Linked DNA regions of Coturnix japonica. Each later gene encodes a partner of the first gene's protein in a complex. Links are inferred from orthologs where the notes say so. Each region holds a gene or a part of one and is shown in the gene's direction. Other genes may lie near its edges.

What was found. The genes of interacting proteins can lie anywhere in the genome.
Region 2: the proteins of TLN1 (region 1) and PIP5K1C are in contact, whole or in part, in a crystal structure (PDB 1Y19), measured with the Mus musculus proteins. The link is inferred for Coturnix japonica from reciprocal best matches to the Homo sapiens genes TLN1 and PIP5K1C. Residues at the interface, in NP_035732.2 of Mus musculus: Pro209, Val210, Gln211, Leu212, Leu214; in NP_032870.2 of Mus musculus: Pro646, Leu647, His648, Tyr649, Ser650, Ala651.

Annotation. Positions count from the first base shown.
Region 1 is NC_029547.1:8,453,002-8,460,033, forward strand, and holds the end of TLN1 (talin-1), read left to right. Parts: intron 1-1,249; coding exon 1,250-1,355; intron 1,356-1,482; coding exon 1,483-1,607; intron 1,608-1,706; coding exon 1,707-1,832; intron 1,833-1,974; coding exon 1,975-2,037; intron 2,038-2,252; coding exon 2,253-2,435; intron 2,436-3,102; coding exon 3,103-3,228; intron 3,229-3,676; coding exon 3,677-3,808; 3' UTR 3,809-4,478; downstream 4,479-7,032. UniProt on the Homo sapiens protein: High molecular weight cytoskeletal protein concentrated at regions of cell-matrix and cell-cell contacts. Involved in connections of major cytoskeletal structures to the plasma membrane.
Region 2 is NC_029543.1:459,157-466,415, forward strand, and holds part of PIP5K1C (phosphatidylinositol 4-phosphate 5-kinase type-1 gamma), read left to right. Parts: coding exon 1-83; intron 84-878; coding exon 879-962; intron 963-1,431; coding exon 1,432-1,480; intron 1,481-2,447; coding exon 2,448-2,532; intron 2,533-2,643; coding exon 2,644-2,805; intron 2,806-3,700; coding exon 3,701-3,842; intron 3,843-4,122; coding exon 4,123-4,155; intron 4,156-5,448; coding exon 5,449-5,556; intron 5,557-5,791; coding exon 5,792-5,924; intron 5,925-6,350; coding exon of another isoform or gene 6,351-6,383; exon of another isoform or gene 6,384-7,222; intron 7,223-7,259. UniProt on the Homo sapiens protein: Catalyzes the phosphorylation of phosphatidylinositol 4-phosphate (PtdIns(4)P/PI4P) to form phosphatidylinositol 4,5-bisphosphate (PtdIns(4,5)P2/PIP2), a lipid second messenger that regulates several cellular processes such as signal transduction, vesicle trafficking, actin cytoskeleton dynamics, cell adhesion, and cell motility.

The DNA of each region.
Region 1 (7,032 bases):
GGAGCCAACGCCTTGCAGAGTGTGAACAGGAGTGGTTGTAGTTCAAGAAAGAGAGTTATTTAGCTTGGGATGGAAAACGTGGCTCCCAGCAGAAGAGTAAGCAAGCAGCATATTTCACCAGGGAGGGGAAGGAATTTGAACCTCCTTAGGGATGTGGTATTTGGTAACAATAGGTCTCTGCCACTAAAAGCAGAGAAATTCAGGCTGAAAACTGCAGACAGGCAGTTAAGAGCGGGAAGAAGTAAGGTGCTGCTGGGCATGGGTGGTCTCTCCAGCCCTGCAGCCTTTGTGTTCAGCCATCAGAAAATGTGATGGGGCTAAAATATGAAGTGGTAATGGCAGCTTTCAGGAAGCCTCTGAACCTTCCTTCTCGCTTCTCCATCTTTCACCCTTTCCTTCACGTACCCCGTTACCCATGTGTCTCTGCCAGGGCATTCATTTGCCTTCTTCTCTCTCCTCTCCATCCTCCTGTGCAGCCGGTGAGTAAGGTGACACTTGGTGTGCTTGCCAGTGTCTAACCTCTGCATGAGCCTTGTTGGCGGCATGTCCGCCTGCCCAGCCCAGCGGTGACGCTGTGCCTGTGTGGTTTGGAGCAGGACCCCATGGTCCATGCCTGTACTCACTCCTGCTCGAGCTGATGTGTGGCCTCCAGTGTGCCGTGGTGTGTGCATGCCTCTGCAGGGCACCCTCTGCAGGGTGTCTCCTAGAAAGGGGATGTATGTCCTGCAGGGACTGAGACCTTGCTCCACATCCTCCCCTGCCCTGCTTGTGTTTGCAGATGAGTTTCTGAGAGGGGGGACAGCAAGGGAGGGATAGGTTCAGGAGCTTGGAGTGCTTTGGGGTGGGGAGAAGATCCAAGGAGACAGCCACTGAGTGGTGGAAGGGCTCAAGCTTAGAATCTGGTGCTGTGTAATGTCCCAGAAGCTGTGGACTCGACACAGCCAAGAAGAGCATCCTGTCCCTGTGCAGGAGGAGGCTCACCAGCACTGCTGCAGACAGGATGACAAACAATGACCAGTTCACACATACAGGGTGGGGTTTTCCCCTCTCCTTCTCTAGGGGAACACCTCAAATAGACCTATGCGGTCTGATTGCTTTGTGATGGCACTCACAATAGCCTGAAATGAGGGTGTCTGAGCCCCAAATAGAACTTTTACCAAGCAGGCAAACTCTGGGGGCAAGGAGCTGCCAGGTAGGGACCACCCCCTTCTTCAGTTTCCATAACATGCTCACTGCTGCTCTCTCACAGATCCTGCAGAAGCCGACCCATGAGCTGAAGCAGCAGCTGGCTGGGTACTCCAAGCGGGTGGCCAGCTCTGTCACTGAACTCATCCAGGCAGCTGAAGCCATGAAAGGTGAGCACCACAGCTACATCCACCTCTGGTCTGGCACCTGGGCTTCAGTAGCTGATGGGAGGGGGTAGGGTCATTGGGAAATCAAGCTGTGCATGGGTTTAATTTCTCTTGGTTCCCTTTTCTGTAGGGACGGAGTGGGTTGACCCAGAAGATCCCACAGTCATCGCTGAGAATGAATTGCTGGGAGCTGCAGCATCAATTGAAGCTGCGGCAAAGAAGTTAGAGCAGCTGAAACCAAGAGCCAAGCCAAAGGTTGTGTGGGGTACTGAGCCCCACCTCACCTCCCCAGCAGCCTCCTGCCACCTTCTCTGCCTTCCTGTATAGGATTAATGTGCTCATTTTTGCCTACAGCAAGCAGATGAGACTCTGGATTTTGAAGAACAGATCTTGGAAGCAGCCAAATCAATTGCTGCAGCCACAAGCGCCTTGGTGAAAGCAGCCTCAGCAGCCCAGCGAGAATTGGTGGCCCAAGGAAAGGTAAGACTGGGAGGGAAGAGAGTTGAAGTCATAAAGATACAGAGCTTTCACAGGGAGGGAAGGTGAATCTGGAGCTGTGGTGGGTTCTCTTCCTTCTCCAAGGACTGTTCCTGTGCCTTATTCACCCTGTCCTGCTTCACAGGTGGGAGTCATCCCGGCCAATGCAGTGGATGATGGACAGTGGTCCCAGGGACTTATTTCCGCTGTGAGTATCAAGGAAACATGGGGGCAGGGGACATCTAATGTTGGGCAAGATGCTCTCTGCCCTTATGCTTCCGCTCTCTAAAAGAGGCAGCCCCACTGCTGACTTCCTCTCCCACCATATGGGGTTTGGCATGGAAGCCAATTGACCCCATCCTATGCACCACGTCCTCCTTGGGACCCTCTCTTCCAGCCCTCTGACACCCTCTCTTGTTGCAGGCACGCATGGTGGCTGCTGCCACCAACAACCTGTGCGAAGCTGCCAATGCAGCAGTGCAGGGCCATGCCAGTGAGGAGAAGCTGATCTCATCAGCCAAGCAGGTGGCTGCCTCCACAGCACAGCTGCTGGTGGCCTGCAAGGTGAAGGCTGACCATGACTCAGAGGCTATGAAGAGGCTCCAGGTGAGTCCCTTTAGCCCCAGCTGCCTCCTCCAGGTTCCTGAACATTCCCTTGGGTGCTTGAGGGGTGGGTGAGAGCAGGGAGGCATCTAGGATCATGGGATGGGGCTGTGGCACTGCTCTTGGTGGTTCATTTGGACACTGGCTCCATGTAGCTTGGACTTCAATTGCATGCACATGTATTCCTGGGCTCCCATCCACCAGGCTGGGGTTGCAGAGCCTGGGGGTATTCACGGCTGATGGCCTGACTTGGGAATGCCTGAAATGTATGCACCAGATCCCTGGCATTAAAGCTTAGGGACATGTTTTGATGGTGCCATCTCCGTGGCCACGGGGCAGAAGTGAATGCCCACGTGCTGCAGGAGGGATCCCAGTGGGACCTCAGAGGTGTCACCTTGGGCCAGAGGCTGGGATGGGACTGTCCCTGCCCTGCTGTTCACGTGGGAGCAGAGTGAGGGAGCCCATGGGCTCAGTCAGGAGCAGCAGCGCCTGAAATGGTCATGAGCAGTCGCGGTGGCAGCGAGCCATGAGCAGGGAGCTCTGCTGGCAGCCCCCCTTCTTCCAGCTGCCTCTTCTGCACACCAGCCCATCTGGGACAGGGGTTCCCCCCCAGGGCAGCAGTTGTACCCTGGGCTGAGTGTAATGCCTCCCGTTTTTTCCCCCACTCCAGGCTGCTGGCAATGCTGTGAAGAGAGCATCAGACAATCTGGTGAAGGCAGCGCAGAAGGCAGCCGCCTTCCAGGACCATGATGAGACGGTGGTGGTGAAGGAGAAGATGGTGGGAGGAATTGCACAGGTGAGGAGTGGGGCTGCTTCCATAGGACAGGGTGGCTCTGGCTGCCCCCAAGGCCATATTGTCATCACACAGCACTGCAGGCTGGGAAGTGGCTCCCATTCCACACAGCAGGGCTTGATATTCTTCCTACTGTTTGTAGCAGTGGGCACAGCCAGTGAACATTTGCTGGTGCTTTTAGTGTAATACCTGCACCAACCCAGTGGCCACAGGGTGTGTGAAGGGTAGAATGCTGTTCAAGGGACAGGCGCAACCCTATATGACAAGGCACAGGTCCCAGCTTTACCTGCTGCACGTGGGACCTGCCTGCAGGATACTGTGGGCCGTATCTCCTGAGCACTGTGATGTGACCACAGGGGGTGCTTAGCTGTAGTTGTGGCTGTGGTGGAAGGATGCAGAGCAAGATGTTCATACCATGGGTGGACAAAGCATCTTGCCACTCTCTCTGCAGATCATCGCCGCCCAGGAGGAGATGCTGCGCAAGGAGCGGGAGCTGGAGGAGGCACGCAAGAAGCTGGCCATGATCCGGCAGCAGCAGTACAAGTTCCTGCCCACCGAGCTGCGGGACGAGGAGCAGAACTGAGCCCCGCGCCCAGGCAGAGCCCTCCCTCCACTCACTGCACAGACTGCTGCCTCCAGCTCCTATTTAAGACACCCCACCTCCAATAACGCTGGGCTGCCTCGGCCCGCACCGGTGCACCAGGACTAACCCAGACACCGTGCAGGTGCTGCACCTGCGCCGCTGCTTCGCCACCCATCGCACCTCTCCACGCAGCACACCGGGCTGGGAGCCTGTCCTGGGGCAGCTCAATGTGCCCCTGGGGCCCAAGGCTCCCTGCTGCCTGGGGCCTGGCCCTTCACGCCTTTCAGGACTTTCCTCGTGCCTTCTTATCCTCTCTCTTGCTTCTTTCTTCTCCCTCCTCCAGGTGGGAGCGGGTGAGGCCTGTGCCTTGCCCTTGTTTGGGGATCATCTCTGCACCTTCCCTTGTGCCTCGCACAGAGCCTCTTTTCACCTTTATGCCTTACTGCTGGCTGAACGCCCCTGCACTCCGCAGCAGCAGCCGCCTGGGAGGCACCGCACACCCTCCTCAGTGCCTCTGTTTGGGGCTGGTGCTGTGGCTTCGCCCCAGGAGCTGCTGTTCCCACCTTATTGCCTCCCAGCCAGCTCTGCCTTCCTCCTCCTTCCCAAGTGCCTGCGTTGTTTTCTGAGATCTTCAGTATTTTTTATAACTTTTAAATTTCTGTAGTATTGAGCCTTCAGCTTTCTGAGTTCATTTATCCCCTTGCTCACATCACCCCCACTAATGCCCGGAGCCCAGTGCCTGCCTGGAGGCCCGGAGCCCACAGCTCCCCATCCCTCCCTGGCTCCGGGACCTCCCTCCCTCCCCTTTGCACTCGCTGAGGCTTCTCTCACTATTTTGATACTTTGAGCATCCCATATTACACATGGAAGGAAACCACCTCCCCCCGAAGCTCCGGGGTGGAGGGAATGTGGATGGCTCTTTGGAAAGACGCTTTCATCAATAAAAGTGGTTTTCCTGCTTGCTTGGAGCACGTGTCCATGGGGGAGTGCAGGGACCCCCAACTTCGGGTGCCCCCAAGGAGCAGGGCTCTGGGGGGGAGGGTTGCTTCAGACCCCACTGCGGGCAGCATGGGGCTGCCAGCCCTCCTTGTGGGGGGAAAGCGCCACGAGCACTTATACAGCACGGAAACTATTTGAGGCATGTCCAAAGCGGCACCCGGCAGCCCAGACCCCCGTTGGCAGCTTCGCAGGTGCTACCCAGGGCAGGGGGGGATTTTGTTGCAGGGGGATTTGGGGGCCGGCTGAGCTCCAGTGTAGCACCTGCCCCTGAGGCTCTGCGCTCCTGGCCCCATTCCTGCAGGCAGCCAAAAATATCCCTAGGCAGGGCAGTGGGAGGGGGTGCAGGTGGGGCACCCCCTATGCATTGACCCCCCCAGTGGGGCAGCAGTCAGGAATGCGGCTGGAGCCCCTCTGGCTGCCTGGGCTGAGCTCAGGCCTTGAAATAGTCACCCTGGCTGCCCCAGCGTGGCCCCTTCCCCACCTGCTGCCACCCCTTCCCGTCACTCAGCTGAGCCTGGGGGCATGAGGGATGCAGTGGGATGCAGTGGGGATACCTCTTTCCCTGCACCCCAACTACCCATGCTGCAGGGCCAGCATCAACAAGCAGCCTGGATGCTGAGCTGCACTGCAAGGCATGTCACAACTCTACAGTTCTCAGCTGTGTCCCTTGGGCTGGCCTTTGGGGTCTCCATCCACCACAGCACTGCAGTGTCCTGCAGCATCATGGGGTGTCGAGGTGCAGAGGGGCCACTGTCCCCCTTGGGACACTGTCCCATGGCCCAGCTCCAGGGTGGATTTGTGCCTCCCACAGGAATCTCAGCCGTGCCAGCTGTCCCTTGACAATCTGCACTGCCTGACCCAGCACCAGGTACCAGACATGGGCATGGCCCAGCTCCACCGCCCAGGGCAGGGGCTTCAGCAGTGGGGACCCCCAGCTACATCTCCCAGGCAAAGGGTGGGTCACAGTTGCCAGCTGTAAATACACGTTGGAGGGACGCAGGGCAGCATTCAGCGTGGCTGGAGCCCTGACCCCGTAAATCTTTCAGCTGGGATTGGAGGGGCTATTTTTGCATGCAGGTTCTAGCAGGCACAAGTGGTGTTTGGGATATGTCAATCACAAGGTGCCCAGCAGCCCCACCACGGCCCCAAATTTGGGGTGGGCAGAGGACCTGTAGCCTGGATCATTGGGGAACACTGGGACAGGGCAGAGGTGACAACCAAGGAAGTGCCATCCTCAGGAGTGCACTGGAGAAGAGTACCCATCACAGAATCCCTTTTCCTGCACTTTGGCTTTGAGGACGAAGCCATGGACAGGAGGGCCTGGATGCCACAGGGTGCCCCTGCGGGATGTGGCCATGAGGAAAATAGGAGTGTGGTGAGGGGGAACTGCATCCCTTGGGGGGCTTGCAGGAAGCTCCCCCAGCTGCTCACACTGTGCTCATCACCTCTGAGTCCATTGGGCTGCTCTGCGCTTAAGCATCTCCCACAGAGCCATCCATCCATCTTTGTCTTGCTCCTATAAAGCCATTTTTCTCCAGCTCTCACCTCCAACCACTCTCACTGTGCCCCTGTGCCAAAAGTTGGGTGCACGCCCCATTGCTGGATGTGGCTGCAAAGCGACAGGCTGGGAGCTCATACAGCCCCTAACCTCATCCATCCCATCCCACCCCATCCTCTCCAACCCCCCCATCCTCCAGCTCACCCTGCAGCTGGGAATGCACCAGAAGCATTTACGAGCGGTATTCAAGCATGGGGTATTTTTGGAGGAGCTGGGATCAGAAGGGTTTTTTTTTTTTTTTTTTTTTTTTTTGCCTGTGGAATACAGTTTATTTTGAGAAGAAAGAAGGAGCAAGGCAGCCTGCGTGCCCTGAGTCACCCAGCAATGCTGTCCCATTGAAGGTACCCTCCTGCTGGGGATGATGGCCCTGGGGTGGTTTAATCACGGGGCAGCGCTGGTGCTGTGATGCAGCAATGGGATGGGACGGGGGAGTCAGTGTTTGGCTCCCTCCAGTCCTGGAGGATTTTTCCGTTGTTTTGCTGCCAGGCCTTGCGCAGAGGACACTGGGGCGGTGTGGAGGAGGGTCCTGGGGCGGCTATGCCAAGAGGAGCCTGCATTGCACAGGGGGGTCTCACTGTGGTCACCTCCATAGAGCATCCCTGTGCCCACTGCTGGCCCTGGGAAAGGGGTGCCACATTGGGCTTAGAGCCATGGCCCCAATCTCCAG
Region 2 (7,259 bases), on another chromosome or scaffold:
GGGCAAAAGGCACTTTACTCCACAGCCATGGAATCCATCCAGGGTGGGGCTGCCCGGGGGGAGTCCATAGACACAGATGACACGTAGGTGGAAACCTGGGCCCCTCCTGCTGGGTGGGGTGGGGGGGGCAGAGTAAATCTCAAACTGAGGGCTGCTTACAGCTCTCCTGGGGCTGTGGCACTGCTTCCCGAAGCCATCCCAGCACGGTGAGCCATGTAACTGATGGAGCAGTGCACCAGGGTCTGCCCCATCTGTGCTCCGTGGGTTCCTCCTGGCTGTCCTGCTGGCCCTGTGGACTTTGCTACCAAACGCTGCAGTTTGCTGTGCTGGCTGCTGGCAGCCACACTCTGTGGAACCAGCTGCTCCGGTTCCAGTGGAGGATCAGTCACAGTGGAGCCAGGAAATAGTTTGGTGTTTCCATTCTTTCAAAAAGCATCCCTAATTGTAGTGGCTGCTTTATGCTTGCATGCTTCTGTTGTGTGCTGGTGCTGCTGCACCTTTGGCTGATATTAAGGAATACCTTTGTCCTTACGGATCTGATGCCCTTTATAGGCAGCTCGTGCTGATTTAATGACCAATCCGATCCTCAGAATAAAATATCCCATAGCTAAGAAAAATCCTTATGGTGTTTTCTGGCCGCAGTGAAGCTACTGTCATACAACATATGTGTTGTCCTGGCATCTCACGTTTGGTGATCCAGGCTGGCAGCTCCTGTGTGCGATGGGCCGGGTGGGGAGGTGGCTGCTGGTAGGTTTCATTCTGTCTGACCACCACATCAGAGCCCTCCTTCCAGCACTGTCACCATCATTCCTCCATCCTGGGGCCCAACAGCTCTTCTTTTTAAGTCTGTACTCACCGTGGCCTTGTTTCACCTGCAGGATGGGAGGAATCCCAGCAGTGAATGGCAAAGGAGAGCGTCTCCTGCTGCACGTGGGAATTATAGATATCCTTCAGTCATACAGGTAGGTGCCTCTGCAGTCATCTGTCCTCTAAGCATGCTCTATCTATTTTAATACTGAATGAAAGCAAGATTTTCCTCTCCTGAAGAGTCTGATGGTGTGTAGGCAGGTTGCCTAAAGCTGTCTGATGTGTGTTGGGAGCTCTGGATTTTTATCTTGTCCTTAGAACAGCTGGTGACACCGAGCTGTTTGCCTAAGGCATAATGAGTTGTTCTTAAAGAAATTCCCCATCACTGTGCCTGGGATGGGCAGCACAGAGCCAGGGAGGGATGGGAGGGTTCCCAAGCAGTCCTGAGCCAGCTGATGGTGTGCTCTGCTGACCTCCTGGCTGGAGCAAAGCTATGCTCTGCATGGAGCGAGGATCAGCAGCTCACTGAGCACTCCTGTGCCTGTCATGGAAGGTGGCTCTGGCACCAAGTCTGTGCCCGAAGCTGAGTCCTTCCTTTTCTCTCTGCTTCTTCCCTGAAATTAGGTTCATCAAGAAGCTGGAACATACCTGGAAGGCCCTTGTCCACGATGGGGTGAGTGCAGGGGGTGCCTTCAGCAGGTTACCTGCCTTGGCTCTCACTGCTTGGTGCCAATTACCTCGCTATTTATAGTCCCTAAAGTGGTACAGTTGAAGCTGATGAAAGGAATAGTTCTTGCCTCTTATGCCTCCGCAGCAGTGTAGTACGACTTATTCCCAGTCAGGTTTTCTTGCACACTCCACCTCCTCACACACTTAGCTGTCATGCTACCAGCTCTCCTCCTCTGCTCCCATCTGTCATTTTCCTCCTCCCTGTGTTAGCAGGAGCTGTGTGTGCAAGGCATGTGCGTTCGTGTGTGTTGAGGAGCATTGCCTTGGCTCTGTTTGGTGATTGACTGCGGTTCCTCTCCAGTAATCTATCTGCTAATAATCCCCTTGCGGTTTCCCTGCTCTCATCTCCAGCAGCAGCGATAGGTGTGTGTTTAAAAAGACCGTCCTCAAGATATAGGAACTGTTTGTCAGCATTGCGCATCCAAGCTTCCCTTCACAAAGTGATGCAGAGGAGAGGGGGGAGATGCCAGGTCACAGCAGCACAGTGACATCAGAAGCAGAGACACCAGGTCCATTAGAAGTATGGAATGTGTGTGGGGACCCTTGGCTGAGTGCTGCTGTCTGTGTGATACGCAGCCATAGCCAGGTGTGCTTTAAATGTCAGAGCAAAGCCAGAGAAAATTTCATGTGTGTAATCAGGTCAATATTTGAAAAATCCAGGAAGTCTCTAAAGGAATAAAATCACCAAAATCCATTATAAAATTACAGCAGGAGCGTAATCAAACGCAATCAAATGAAAGGCAGTGCTTCAGGCTTATTTATAGCATTAATCAGATCATTTCAGTTAAGCCTTTCCATTTTAAGGATCTATCAGTGCTAAATGCTGGAATAGAAAAGATTGCGTCGGCTGCTTTAGAGATTCTGCCTTGAGGAGTAATTGTGAAATGAACCAGCGGTTTCTTCCTTTCCAGGACACGGTGTCAGTTCACAGACCCAGCTTCTATGCAGAGAGATTCTTCAAATTCATGACCAACACGGTGTTCCGAAAGAACTCCTGTAAGCATGTTGTCTGTGAAGTGAGCGGGGCCAGCTCTGCCTATGGAGGAAAGGGTTCCTTTGGAGTGACTTTAGTTGGTGGTAATTCTCTCTTCCACTCTTCTCCTCCAGCCCTGAAGTCATCTCCCTCAAAGAAAGGGCGCAGTGCCTTGCTGGCTGTCAAGACTCCTGGTCCAACAGCTGCGTTCTCAGCCAGCCAGCTCCCCTCTGAGAAGGACGAGACGCAGTACGACCTCCGTGCAGCCAGGAGTTATCCCACCCTTGATGATGAAGGTAATGGCCTGGTTGGTGTCTGCTGGCTGTGATCACCGTCTTTCCTAGCAGAGCTCCCCTGTTCTCATTGAGCTCCCAGCTCTGCACCAAATGCACGCCTTTCTTGTTGGGTGGTTCTTCGTTCCCTGTCTTGCAATGCTTTGCAGGTGCTAAACTTAACCAGGACAGGGGGAAGGTGAGAGTACATTGTTTTGTCGCAGTGTGAGCAGTTGGTGGATTGGGAAGCAACGCCTCTGCATCCCAACCGAGTCCCTTCTTTGCAGCACTGTGTGGTTCTGCAGTAAAAATGGTCGCTTGCGTCACTGCTGCAAGGCAGCTCTGCCAACTGGCACCAGCAGTTGTAGCCCAAATGCAATCAGAAGGTTGGGTTTTCCACCTGTAGAAAAAATGGGACCGAGAACTGCACATCTCTGCTGTTTGAATGGGNTAAGAGAGATCTTGCCATGGGGAGGAGAAAGATGAATGGATCTGATTCTTTGCCTTTGCATCCCTTCCATCTGGGCTGGATTTACAGATGGTTGGTGAAAGGCAGGCTTCTTGAGTGTGTAAGTGTTAGATTTCTACCCGTGCAAAGCAGTGAGCACTCGATTCATCTTTTAATTCACTCGGATATTTATCTCTGTCAAGCCAAGCCTTTAATCCAGCTTTGGTTACCACTGAGATGTCTTCCTTGGCATTACATTTCCAGTAGTGTCTATCTGTCACGCTGGAAATGGTGCCTACTGGCTCTCTCTAGAGGATGCTTTGGGATAAGCTGTTGTTTTCATGAACTTCTTGCCTGTTTGTGCATTCATGTGGGGGAACAGCCTCACATGGGGCCACAGCAGATGAGGAGCTGATGTTTGACCTGCTTATCTTTCTCCCTCCATCTCTCCTGCCCTGCGCTTCGGGCCAGCAGGCAGACCAGACCTGCTCCCCTGCACACCTCCTTCCTTTGAAGAAGCTACCACGGCCTCCATAGCCACAACGCTCTCTTCAACATCTCTCTCTGTTCCTGAGCGATCCCCTTCAGAGACATCAGAGCAGCCTCGGTACAGGTGAGCTCAGTGCCCATCCCCTGCTCGTGCTGCTGCTCCTCTTTGTGCCGCAGCTCTCGACAGCCTGCCCTGTACTCTGCAGTGCTAATGACCGATTTTAATTAAATCTCTCCTGGGAGCAAGCAGACACAGCTTTGATGGGATTAATTATTGCTGGGAGAAGTGTCAGCTGTTAAGTAGAACATCTCCCTCATGGGGTGGGGAGTTAGATTTGGGTGCAGCGTAGGATTTCTGTCTTAAATCCTCCCTCTAACTCTGCTCTCCTGGTTTCTTTCTGCAGGAGACGCACACATTCCTCAGGGCAGGATGGCAGGTGAGAAATGTGCTTCATCCTCACATTTTTCTCACCTCACCTGTGCAAAGGCTGCTTTTCTTGGAGGGCTGAATGTGCCCCTTGATTGCAATTTTAATTACAAGCAGATCTCCCAGAGTTTTGCAAGGAATCTTTAATATCGCCCCTGTTATTTGATGGGAAAGAGGATGACTGGATGTTCCTATCGATGGAAGGTGCAATAGGCAACTTGGTGTTGGTTTGCAGCATCCATAGAAGTGGCAGGGAGCTGTGAAGCTCCTCTCCTCCTGCCAAATCCAGTCTGAGGCTGCTGAAAATCAGAGATTAATGGAAATGAAACTCAAGCACCTGTGTCAGGACCCACTTGGCAAAGTGCCGTGACTTCACCTGAATTGCTCCAGGCTCCCTCACTGTGGGATGTGACTGTTCAGCTGAAAATAGGTCAGATGAACCGTGTCCTAGAGGTGGCAGTTCAGGGAGTTGGGTGACTTGGGCAGAGGTGAATGACTGTCACAGACTTGCCACAACTGCAACCACCCTGTATCTGGGTGACCCTCTGCTTATGTTTTTTTGCCCAGTTTCTCTATTTTTGGTGCTGATGTCTGTATCCTCTCAGCTGAAATGAAGAAGCCCTTCCCCTGTTGATTTAAGTTCAAAACATGGCAGACCTTTGACTCCCCAGATCTGCTGGAGAACTCCCTCTGGGTTTGGGAAATTCATCCCTCTGGCAGCACCATCCCAGCAGCCAGATGGGAGCGGTGCAGCCTGCTGGTTCCAGCCATGGGACAGAGCAGAGCCAGCCAGGGACTGAGCAGAGCTGGCCAGAACCTCTCAGAGACACGGAGACTGTGTCCTTGGCTGGGCAAATGCCAGCTCCTCCTTCCCAGGAGGACTATAGAGGCAGCCCTGCTAACACAAGCAATTACTTTAATAGCAAGAGGTATTAAATTGAAGACTGTCACAAACAGCTCCTGACTCGCAGATAAATAGGATGTTAACCCCGGAGTGAACCTCAGTGCACCAGAGCTGCAGCAGAGGTTGGAGGCTTTGGCTGTTGGGAGGTTGATGGATAACACTGGGATAGATCTGGGCACATGTTTTCCCCAGAGGCCAATTGTCCTTTTTTCTCCTGCGTTCAGGCTGACATCGCCCATCCTTTCTGCAGTGCTGGCTCATGAATCCCTTTCCTCCCAACTCCAGAGTGCTGAAAACCAAAACCTGATGGGACTGACACTCCTGCTGGGAATTTTGGTTACCCAAAACCTCACTCCTGGGAGCTCTGGCTGAGCCTTCCCGTGTTTCTTCTGTTCCCAGGTCACACGAGGAGGTGCGAGTTGAAGAGGAGATCAGTGATCAGCAGATCAGTGTAGAGCTGGAGCCCAAATGTGATGTTGAGATCGTAGCTCCTGAAGAAGACAAGGAGTAAGTATCTGGGGGTGTTTGGCAGAGTCCTGCCCAGCTCCTTTTTTGTCCATGGCAGCTCATGCTGATTTTGTGAGGCATCAGCTCCCCTGGGCAGGTGGTTTCCTTCCCTGATCCTTCTGGGTGTTAATGCAGAGCATCCTCTGCAGTTCCTCTGGGATTAATCACCCAGTCTTGCTCGCTCCCCTCCTTCTGCCCTCACTGACCAGATGCTGTTGTTTCTTCCCCCTTCCAGAGAAGCAGCTTCTTCAGCCTGTGCCATTGTCATGTCCACAGCTACAATAGAGGTGGAGACGGCCAGTCAGGCCTCCGAACCAGCCAGCCAGGCCTCGGATGAAGATGACGTGCCAGTCACAGACATATACTTTGTAAGATACCCTCTGCCCGGCCCCTTAGGGATGGAACAGGGATGTGTGGATGAGGCTGTGATCTGTTTCAGGCTGTGGGGTGTGTGGGGCAGCGTCTGCCCTACACTGTGCTGAGCACCTTCACATCTTAGTGCTGGGCAGGGTTTGAACGCAGGGAATAACCCTTGGAGAACTCAGAACAGCACCTGGTGATGCTGAAGCATGCGGTGCCACTATGATGTAGTCATAGGTGTGCTGCTCTATTTGGTGCTGAAGGTCTTATCTAGGCCAGTGTGTTGCTCCTGGGACAAGCCAAGGTGAAAGTGGGTGCTGCAGGGCCCCCCCCATCCTGGGCCCTGAGCACAGACACGCTGTAATGGAGTGGAGGTGGTTGTGGTGGGGCTGACGTGGGGCTCTTGTGAACTCTGGCTTTTCCTCTCCCTGCAGGCAGATGCATTAGGTGGTGCAGTGGAAGTCTAGTACTGAGACAGGGAGTAAGTGAGGTGGTTGCTGTTGGCAGCAGAGTGCCGTGGAGCCTGGGGCTGTGTTCCTCAGCCAGTTTCCACAACGTCTGAGCAGCTTCTGCAGAATGGAGAGGAGTTTTTAGGAGCGTGTGCCTGCTCTGTGGATTCCCAGAGTGGAGCTGAGGGTTTGACCCATGGCAGCTCTCCCCCATGTCCTGGCACTGGAACCTTTCCATTAAAAGAGGTGCTCTGCTCCGACTTGCATGGCGATGGAGATGAGCTGTGCCCTGTGAGCTCCTTCAGGCTACCCTGAAAATGGCAACATTTGGCTCTCCCTCTGCTCATGTGGCTCTGCTGCAGAGCTGCTCACTCGTTGCCGAGTCATTTGGAGGCTCGTGGGAGCTGCAGAAGGAATCAGTTTTACAAGCTTGTCTGTTTGGGTTTTTGTGCATGCTGTTCCAAATGCAAACAGCTCCCTCTAACACTGGCTGCTCTTTCTTTGCCTGTGGATGGCAGCTGTGTCCAGGCTGCCTGCAGATACTGCCTGTTCCACTGGCAAATGTCTCCTAGCGAGGGGTGGCTCCCTTCCTCCCTGCCCATGGGCACGTGGACTCCCCCCAGCTTCCACGGGGCTCTTCTCTAACCAGAAGAAACCATTTGTGTGCAGTGTGTGCTCACAGAGAGCCTGACTGACTCATCAGCATCCCATACTTCATCCGAGTCCTTGAGTTTTGCATTAAGTGTGTGTCGTGTGCTGTGGAGTGTTTGTCACTGCTGGGATGAAGGGAAAAGCTGATCTGGGTTTCCCACTGGCAGTGATAGTGGCTTTTTTGTTGGTTTTTCTGCTGGAAAACCGCTGGAGCTGGAGCTCAACCGAGGCTGCACCCAAATG